2 linked regions of the Arabidopsis thaliana genome follow. The main gene of each other region encodes a partner of the protein of the gene in region 2 in a complex. Each region holds a gene or a part of one and is shown on either strand. Other genes may lie near its edges. The genes, in order: BUBR1 and AT2G20635.

Region 1 (3,923 bases), 5.3 Mb from region 2:
CGAGTCCGATAACGGAAAACGTCGTTGGACCGCCGCGGTAAGCTCCCATTAGTACGAATAACGCCGCCGCGTTTCCGAACGGTTGGAAAACGCGTTTGTTCGGATCTGAGGGAGTTGAATCGTACTTCTGAGAAGCTGCTGCAGTTGTCGTTGAGAGAGAGGTGGTGAAATTCTCCGCCGAAGTGAAGTTCGATGAGGAGAGTAAGGTGGTGGTGGTGGTGGTGGTGACGGCGGAGCAGGGACGAGCGGTGGAGATGAGGTTGTGGTAGTAAGGAGGAAGGTTCCAGACAATCATGACGAGAGAGAGAGCTAGTAATGTAGCAATTATTGGTTTCTTCTCGAAACATACTGTGGTGGTTGATAACACCGGCGGCAAAACTTCCTTCCTCATGTTTTTTTTCCCGACGACGGTGAGTAAAACGCACCGTTTCGGTTATCAATTATTTAAAAATTAAAAAAATTCAAAAGTGACGACAAGCGTCAGAGAGAAGTGACGAGAGGCTTTGCCGACACGGCGTGTAGAAATTAGAAGACTCGTGGCTGTCTCACATATGATATGAGGAGTGATGTGGTGGAGGTTATACGAGAATGGGCTTGGATCTATTATGATTTACGAAAAAGACACTGCATCTAACTTGTAAAAAGTTGGATCAAGTCTGTTTTATGTATTGCTGGCTCCCAATTGGCAGCATGGTGGGGACACATGGTCCTTTGGGCAAGTTGGCGTAACGGTGTACCTTCTTTGGTGATGATTTAGTTTCGGTTAGAGAAATCGAATGAGTTTGGGCACGGAAAGGTGAAATGTGAATAGACTCGTTAAAGAGTTTGTGAATTCCCAGCAAAAAGTAAAAAAAAAAAGTGTGTTCTAAATTCCTTTGAATGTAGACTTTGTTTTAAACATTTGAATTAAAAACATGATTTGTTCTTCCAGTTATGGAATTCTTAAACGTACGGCAAAAGGCTTTTAGTTTTAGACTTTAGTAATAACAAGCAAAATGTATATTGATTGCGAATACGATTGCATGCATTTAAAGACTTGTTTTTTTTTCCAAACTTAAACGTCAATAAAGGAGATCATGTGTGTCACATTCCCAAACTGAAGGATACCATAAATATCAATTCTTTTATTATGTTTTCTTCATTTCATTTTCTTCAATAAACTGTTACTGTTTTATTGTCGGTGGAAGTTGTTACAATGGAAAAACAGACTTTGTATACAACTTCTAATCTTGAGTACGTTTTGTTTAGGAATTCATAATTGAGCACACTAGGTTTAGCGTGTAACGCAATGTATGTGATCATCCCTTGTTGAACCGACAGACAGAGAGCATCTTGTGGTTGTGGATGAACTTTTTTTTAGCTTCCAAGTCAAAAAGTGAATTATGCTCGTAATTTATTTAAAGAAGGTAAAAAAAGAGTACATCTTCTCTTTTATCTTTTGCTTTGATTGTTATTCTCCAAAAGACCAAAACCATCTAATTTAGAAGAAAACAAAACAGTAAAAATAATTTTCTCTGGATTATTGTGTTATTTTGTTCAGCCAATTGAATTAATGAAGTGTATTCTGTCATTTCTTTTACTATTTTACTTTCGCTCATTGTCATTTTTCTTCTCTTATCGATTATTTGTAGTAGGAGTATACACAATTCGGTTTAGATGGCCACTTAATGGGTTTAAGAAATCAAATCATGGCCCATCTAAGTTAGGCCCATCAAAAGCGTCTATACGCTCCGAGTATGCGTACATCAAAGCAAAAAGTTGCGAAGCTCTCTCATTGAGTAAACTAACGGCTATATTCTCTCTGATATTCAAAATTTGCTCGAAGAAACGACGATGGCAGCCGAAACGAAGGTTCAGGTTTCAGATCCAGAGGCAGAGTTTCTTAATTCGAAGCAGGAGACTGGATACGAGTGGGAGCTTTTCAAGGAGAACGTCCGGCCATTGAAGAGAGGTCGCAATGTTGGTATTCTCAACCACGCTCTCAAATCTCACTCTGACCACCAATTGAGAAAGAATCTCATCGAGAAACGCAGGTACTGATTTCAATCTCACATCTTTGCTCTTGGGTTTTAGTCTAATCGCTCGATTCTTGTCTAATTTTGTGTTGTTTTTGTGAATTAGGAATTTGATTGAAGCCATTGATGAGTATGAAGGAGATGACCCTTTATCTCCATGGATAGAGTGAGTTCCTTTTATCATTCTTGATTGGGTTGTTGAAAAATTGAAATTTTTCTTGAACCAATCTTTATGCTGTGACCAATTTGTAAACTGAGCTTCTTAATTGGTTTCTTTGGAAGGTGTATAAAATGGGTACAAGAGGCTTTTCCACCAGGAGGAGAATGTTCAGGACTGTTAGTGATATATGAGCAATGTGTTCGTAAATTTTGGCACTCTGAACGTTACAAGGATGATCTTCGTTATCTTAAAGTCTGGTTGGAATATGTAATGATTCTATCTTTAATTAAACCCTCTAGATGATTCTTTCTTTGTTATGGAGAGAGTACTCATAGTTTTTGTGTGTGTTTTGAAGGCGGAGCATTGCGCTGATGCGGAAGTGATTTACAAGTTTTTGGAGGTCAATGAGATTGGAAAGACACATGCTGTCTACTATATAGCTTATGCTTTGCACATTGAGTTTAAGAATAAGGTCAAAACTGCTAATGAGATCTTCAATCTTGGAATCTCTAGGTAAATGAACAGATATGTAATCTTACTTTCATGTTTCGGCTCCAAGTTATTGGTCTGATTTGAAAGTGGGAACTTGTGCAGGGATGCAAAGCCAGTGGAAAAGTTGAATGACGCGTACAAGAAGTTTATGGTGAGAACGATGAGAAGGTCCAACACAGCTGATGAAGTAAAAAGTTTTGTCTCTTTGTAACACTTTATATCTATTCATTATGGACTAAGGTTTTTCCTAATCATAATTAATGTTCTACCTACCAGCAGGAACCAAAGGAGAATAATGACTTACCGTCAAGAAGCTTTGGCACTTTATTGTCCAGGGGAGATAATAGTGAGTCACATTAACTTAACTTGGAAACCACTGAAATGTTTTGGTAAGCTATCTTACATGAAAATGTTTTCTGTAGATGCAAGAAGGCAGGCGTTAGGAAGTTCTAACCCACAAGCCAAAAAGCTAAAGCCAAATCAGTAAGTAGTTTGATTGGTTCTATATTTCTCGTTGTTTTCATTATCTGCATTTTCTATCAACTCATACCTTTAAATTATTCTGCAACTCACTATGGTAAGCAACTTTGTCTTTTGCAGATCATCCAAGACACCTTTTGCTATCTACGCAGATGCAGTTTCAGACACCACATCAGGGAATCAACCAGAGTCAGACAAGTCAAGACCAGAGTTTGGTAGTTGGCTCATGCTTGGAGGCAGAGCAGAGAGGAACAAAGAAAACAATTCTTTACCTAGAAAATGGGCATCATTCAAGGTTTTCCCTCTACCCTCCTAAACAAAACTATCTCACTTGGCTCATACTATCTCTATAAATTGATCACTAACTGCATTTATATTTATTGTCACAGGTTCCTCAGAAACCCATTGTGAGAACTGTTGCAGCAGCATCTGCTTCCACCTTTGAGGTTTTTGTCGATGAAGAAGAATGTACAGAGTAAGTTTGACTAATTTTTCAGAAGTTTTCTGAACAAAACATGTTTCCACCATTAACATGATTCTGAAATGCAGAGAGGAAGAAGAAAAGAAGAAGAATGATGAAACTATCTCATCATCATCAAACGTTCTGCCCCTTAATGGCGGCCGTGAGATAAAAAAGTAAGCAAAAAAATTCCCCTAAAGATTCATTCACCAAACAAATATTATATCATGACTTGGTAGAGATCTAACAATGGTTACTTAAAAAAATGCAGAGAAACAGAGCTGCTACGACAGAACCCTTTAAGACATTTCCCACC
Region 2 (3,923 bases):
GTCAGTCTCTGCCACGATCGTTAACATACAAGTACATGGCTTCATGACCAAAAAGTCTTTATCTACAATCTAATCAGCAATATTGGAGCGGAATAAACTTACGGAGGGTATCGGATCAGCAGATTGTCTGGCTTGAAATCACCATGAATGATTCCAACACTGTGCAAAGTCTCCAGCATGTTCAGCATTTCTATTGTGTAATACATGCACAAAACTTCTTCCATGGACTTTCCAACAACGACATACGAGTTTATGACGTCCTTAAATCACAAAAAGAAGGCAAATGAAGCAAAGAACTATGTTTGCATTTTGTATATTCAGTCCGTGAGAGTCCTAAGATACCACCTACCTGGAGTGTCCCGTGTGATAAATAATCGCAGACAAGTATACTGTAGTCTGAATACACGTGCACTCTCTGAGCCAATCCAAAACTTGATCTCTAACATAGCATGAGAGTAATTAGTACGGTGTGAAACACCTGTGAACTGGTAATATTAATGGAAAAGGGCATACTTGGCTATCTGGGATCCTGCAATCAAGTTGGCGATACATGTGGAATTCCCAAGGAAAAGGTGGTTTTTGTACCTGTGAAGAGATTTGTATATGCAATATGAGCATTTAGCATCATACTGTATTTGAAAAAACTTTAAGGGTCTATCTACCTTTAGAGCAACTACTTCATCAGGATTGCTGTCAATGAATGCTTTGAACACTTGAGCAAAACCACCTTGGCCAGCACAGCCCTTCATCTGGTACTTTCTTCCACCTAGCAAATAGACAGAGCCAATGGATCCAGGTCACTTTTTTTATTTTAGTCTCAGAGAAGACATATTGTCCCAGGTGAGAACAAAGCGGGAATCAATTTCTTTTACACAAATGAATACATGCCCAGCCACTTTTAATTTGAAAAATGCATCTTATAATAAAAAGAAGGATTCTTTATCCTGTAGCGGTGACAGACTAGATTGGTATGAAAAAAGTATACCTATCTCAATGATCTTATTTCTGGAATAATTCTGCAAAGATGACAGGTTGGCCTTTCCAGGGAAAACTTTGTTGCTTACATGGTACCCCTGATGCAAACATAAAGAAAGAAACTCAGTGGACAAGCCTCCCTATATAAGTTAAATCATGTAAAATATCATGATTTTCCATCAGCCTTACATCATATTTCACAAGCTGTGGTTTTATCTTGTGAATTAAGCCGTTCACAGTGGATGTTTCCCATGGATTCACAAAACCCGTCTCCAAGTCAGTGGCCTGAGCATCATCACCAACCTGCCAGAAAGAAAACGTTCAATCCTCAACTAAAGCTATCAAAGTGCATTAGAATAACCATATGCTACTCATTAAAATTAAAAAATAAACCTTTTCAAGGGAAGATGCTTTGGTCCTCTTAGAGATTCTTTGTAAGAACAATGAGTGAGCCTCTTTTAACCTGTCAAATGGTTCAGCTTTCCTACAATTCTCCAATGAGAAACAAATAAGAAATGAAACCACAAACTAGAGGAAAAAGATAAGGAAGGAGCCACAGAACAAGGAGAAAGATAAGAGACCTTGAAAGACCAGTCTGATAAACAGAATTTGCTCTTCGCCACAATCCTTTGACCTCAAGAAAAATAGCATACCATTCATAGAGCAACGAATGCCCTTTACATATCTCAGTCTCTTCAATTTCTCTATAAACCCTCTCAAAATCTTCCCTGCCTTCAAGCTAAGAAGAGATTCAACAATTTAACCCCCAAACTGTAACATCTACATCAGTTGATTCGCAATATAACAATCCCAAACCCTAAGAATGCTAATCAAACAAACAATCGAGGAAAGAAAAGCACAATTTAAGCTCAAACAAGTTGGGAGAGAGGGTTTTAGTAAAGTTACATAGAGAAACCAGATCTTGAGGAATCTGAGGTCATTTCGGTACCGAGAATCTTTCTTATAAGTTGAGATACAATCAAATAGAAGCTTATCGAGATCGTATCCGGAATTTTTACCAGCGTATAGATCCTCCATCGAATTTTTAATCTCCCTGTGAAAACCCCAAAATACAACATCGGAAAATTAGAATCCATTTTGACACATATAGCACAATTAGTTAGATGAGAAGGAAGGATAAAGCATGAGTTACATAAGCCACGGGAAGAGCGGGTCTCCGGCGGCGTCTCTGTAACCGATTGTCATTTTCGCAGCCGTAGGAAGAGAGAGAGAGAGAGAGAGAGTGGGAAGTGAAGCTTTTCAAAAAAAATTAACTTTCGAAATTCAAAATTTGTTGGACCAGAGCAAATATTCTATATAACCCAAAAGTGTAAATGGGCCTATTTTGTTAATTATGTGGCCCATTGTTTCAGTTAAGACAAATGAAAATCCCGGCCCACGCGCTTCAGGTCCACGGATTCTAGTCTTACGCGCTAAACGCGCCTTTGTTGCGTGTGGTTTGTCTTTTACACGCGTATTTCTTTTTGTCGACGTCATTTTGTTCGAATTTGTTTGAAAATATTTTTAAGATAAAGTTTCCTTTCTTTGTTGCACATGTTGTCATGACAGAGTAACTAGAAAAACTGATAAAATAATGTCTTGTTATTTTAAGTAATAACAAAAAAATATTTTTCCGATCAATAATGTAATGAATGAGATGATGTGCACGAAATAACAGTTTTTTATTTTAAAAGTAATGTTTTATTTTGTCGGCAATGTGAAAGAATGTAGCAAATAATAATAGAGAGAATTTGTTTAGGGAATACTTTTGCCTTGAGAAAAATATAAAGAAGAAAAGTCGTCGGCGGAGGAAGTCAGTAGCCAATAATGATAAGAATCACCGGCTGTTCACATGTGGATTGATTACCTCACATTCATATTTATTACATAAACTCATCTCTCTGTTTTTCTTTCTTAGAATCATTCATATTTCAGACACAAAGGCAGAGAAACAAATTCTTGTAACAATGGCAGGCAGAGAGATTCTCCATAAGATGAAGGTATGCTTAGCTCAACGCTAGTCTTTTTCTTTTTTCTTTAGTAGCGTTTCAAGGGCTCTAAAGAATCTTGATTTTGTGATCTGATCCTTGTATGTCTTGTTCTGTTTCTCATTAAGCTATATTTGTTTCTTTGTGATAACTTGTACGTAGAGCCGTTTTAAGGAAGTTAGCATCTCGCATGTTAAACGATGATATTGATTCTTCTAGAGCTTGTGTTACTGAATTTGTTTCAGTAATTTGTGCATTTTCTATATTCTCTTTTTGGTTAGAGATTTGGTGATAATGAAATGTATGTATGTTGCTCTTGATGAAGAAATTACAGAACTTGGATTAATGTGATTGTGTTTTGGTGTGAATTGGTAAAGGTTGGATTATGTAGATCTTTTTTGTTTGTTTTGTTCTGCAAGCTGAATTTTATTCATGAAATTGAGTCTTTACAAAGGGTTATGTGGATCTAATAATCATTTGTTTTTCTTTAAATGTCTAAACTTTGAATTTCTTTTTGTTTATCAAACCAAACTTGATTTTATAATTTATCTTTCTCATTTATTTTCATATTTGCTTTTTTTTTTCTTCTTATATTTTGCTGTTATTTGTCAACTTATGTTTTTAGCTTAAGAATAAAATGATTATAATGTATTGAGTAGTAAAAAAGTTTTTTTTAAAAATGAAACTAATAGTATAATTTCTTGTTGTTTGGGTGTGAATATTTGAAGGTTGGATTATGCGGATCTGACACAGGCAGAGGTAAAACCAAGGTGTGGAAGAACATCGCACACGGTTATGACTTTGTGAAAGGCAAAGCGGGCCATCCGATGGAGGACTATGTTGTGTCTGAGTTCAAGAAAGTAGACGGCCATGATTTGGGTTTGTTTGCTATCTTTGATGGTCACTTAGGGCATGATGTAGCCAAGTACTTGCAAACCAATCTCTTTGATAACATACTCA

What was found.
Region 1: AT2G20635 (region 2) and BUBR1 share a complex: the UniProt entries of both Arabidopsis thaliana proteins name them as parts of the mitotic checkpoint complex.

The regions. Positions count from the first base shown.
Region 1 is NC_003071.7:14,213,829-14,217,751, reverse strand, and holds the start of BUBR1 (BUB1-related (BUB1: budding uninhibited by benzymidazol 1)), read left to right. Parts: upstream 1-1,697; 5' UTR 1,698-1,833; coding exon 1,834-2,033; intron 2,034-2,121; coding exon 2,122-2,181; intron 2,182-2,297; coding exon 2,298-2,442; intron 2,443-2,530; coding exon 2,531-2,688; intron 2,689-2,769; coding exon 2,770-2,854; intron 2,855-2,943; coding exon 2,944-3,013; intron 3,014-3,089; coding exon 3,090-3,150; intron 3,151-3,267; coding exon 3,268-3,442; intron 3,443-3,536; coding exon 3,537-3,622; intron 3,623-3,696; coding exon 3,697-3,783; intron 3,784-3,878; coding exon 3,879-3,923. Other genes in the region: GALS1 (glycosyltransferase family protein (DUF23)), read right to left, coding at 1-391. UniProt on the Arabidopsis thaliana protein: Essential component of the mitotic checkpoint. Required for normal mitosis progression. The mitotic checkpoint delays anaphase until all chromosomes are properly attached to the mitotic spindle.
Region 2 is NC_003071.7:8,898,668-8,902,590, reverse strand, and holds the start of AT2G20635 (protein kinase and Mad3-BUB1-I domain-containing protein), read right to left. Parts: upstream 2,232-3,923; 5' UTR 2,182-2,231; coding exon 2,129-2,181; intron 2,030-2,128; coding exon 1,882-2,029; intron 1,715-1,881; coding exon 1,557-1,714; intron 1,460-1,556; coding exon 1,369-1,459; intron 1,279-1,368; coding exon 1,165-1,278; intron 1,074-1,164; coding exon 986-1,073; intron 767-985; coding exon 663-766; intron 586-662; coding exon 514-585; intron 440-513; coding exon 350-439; intron 261-349; coding exon 103-260; intron 1-102. Other genes in the region: PIA1 (PP2C induced by AVRRPM1), read left to right, coding at 2,943-2,975, 3,692-3,923. UniProt on the Arabidopsis thaliana protein: Serine/threonine-protein kinase that performs 2 crucial functions during mitosis: it is essential for spindle-assembly checkpoint signaling and for correct chromosome alignment. Has a key role in the assembly of checkpoint proteins at the kinetochore.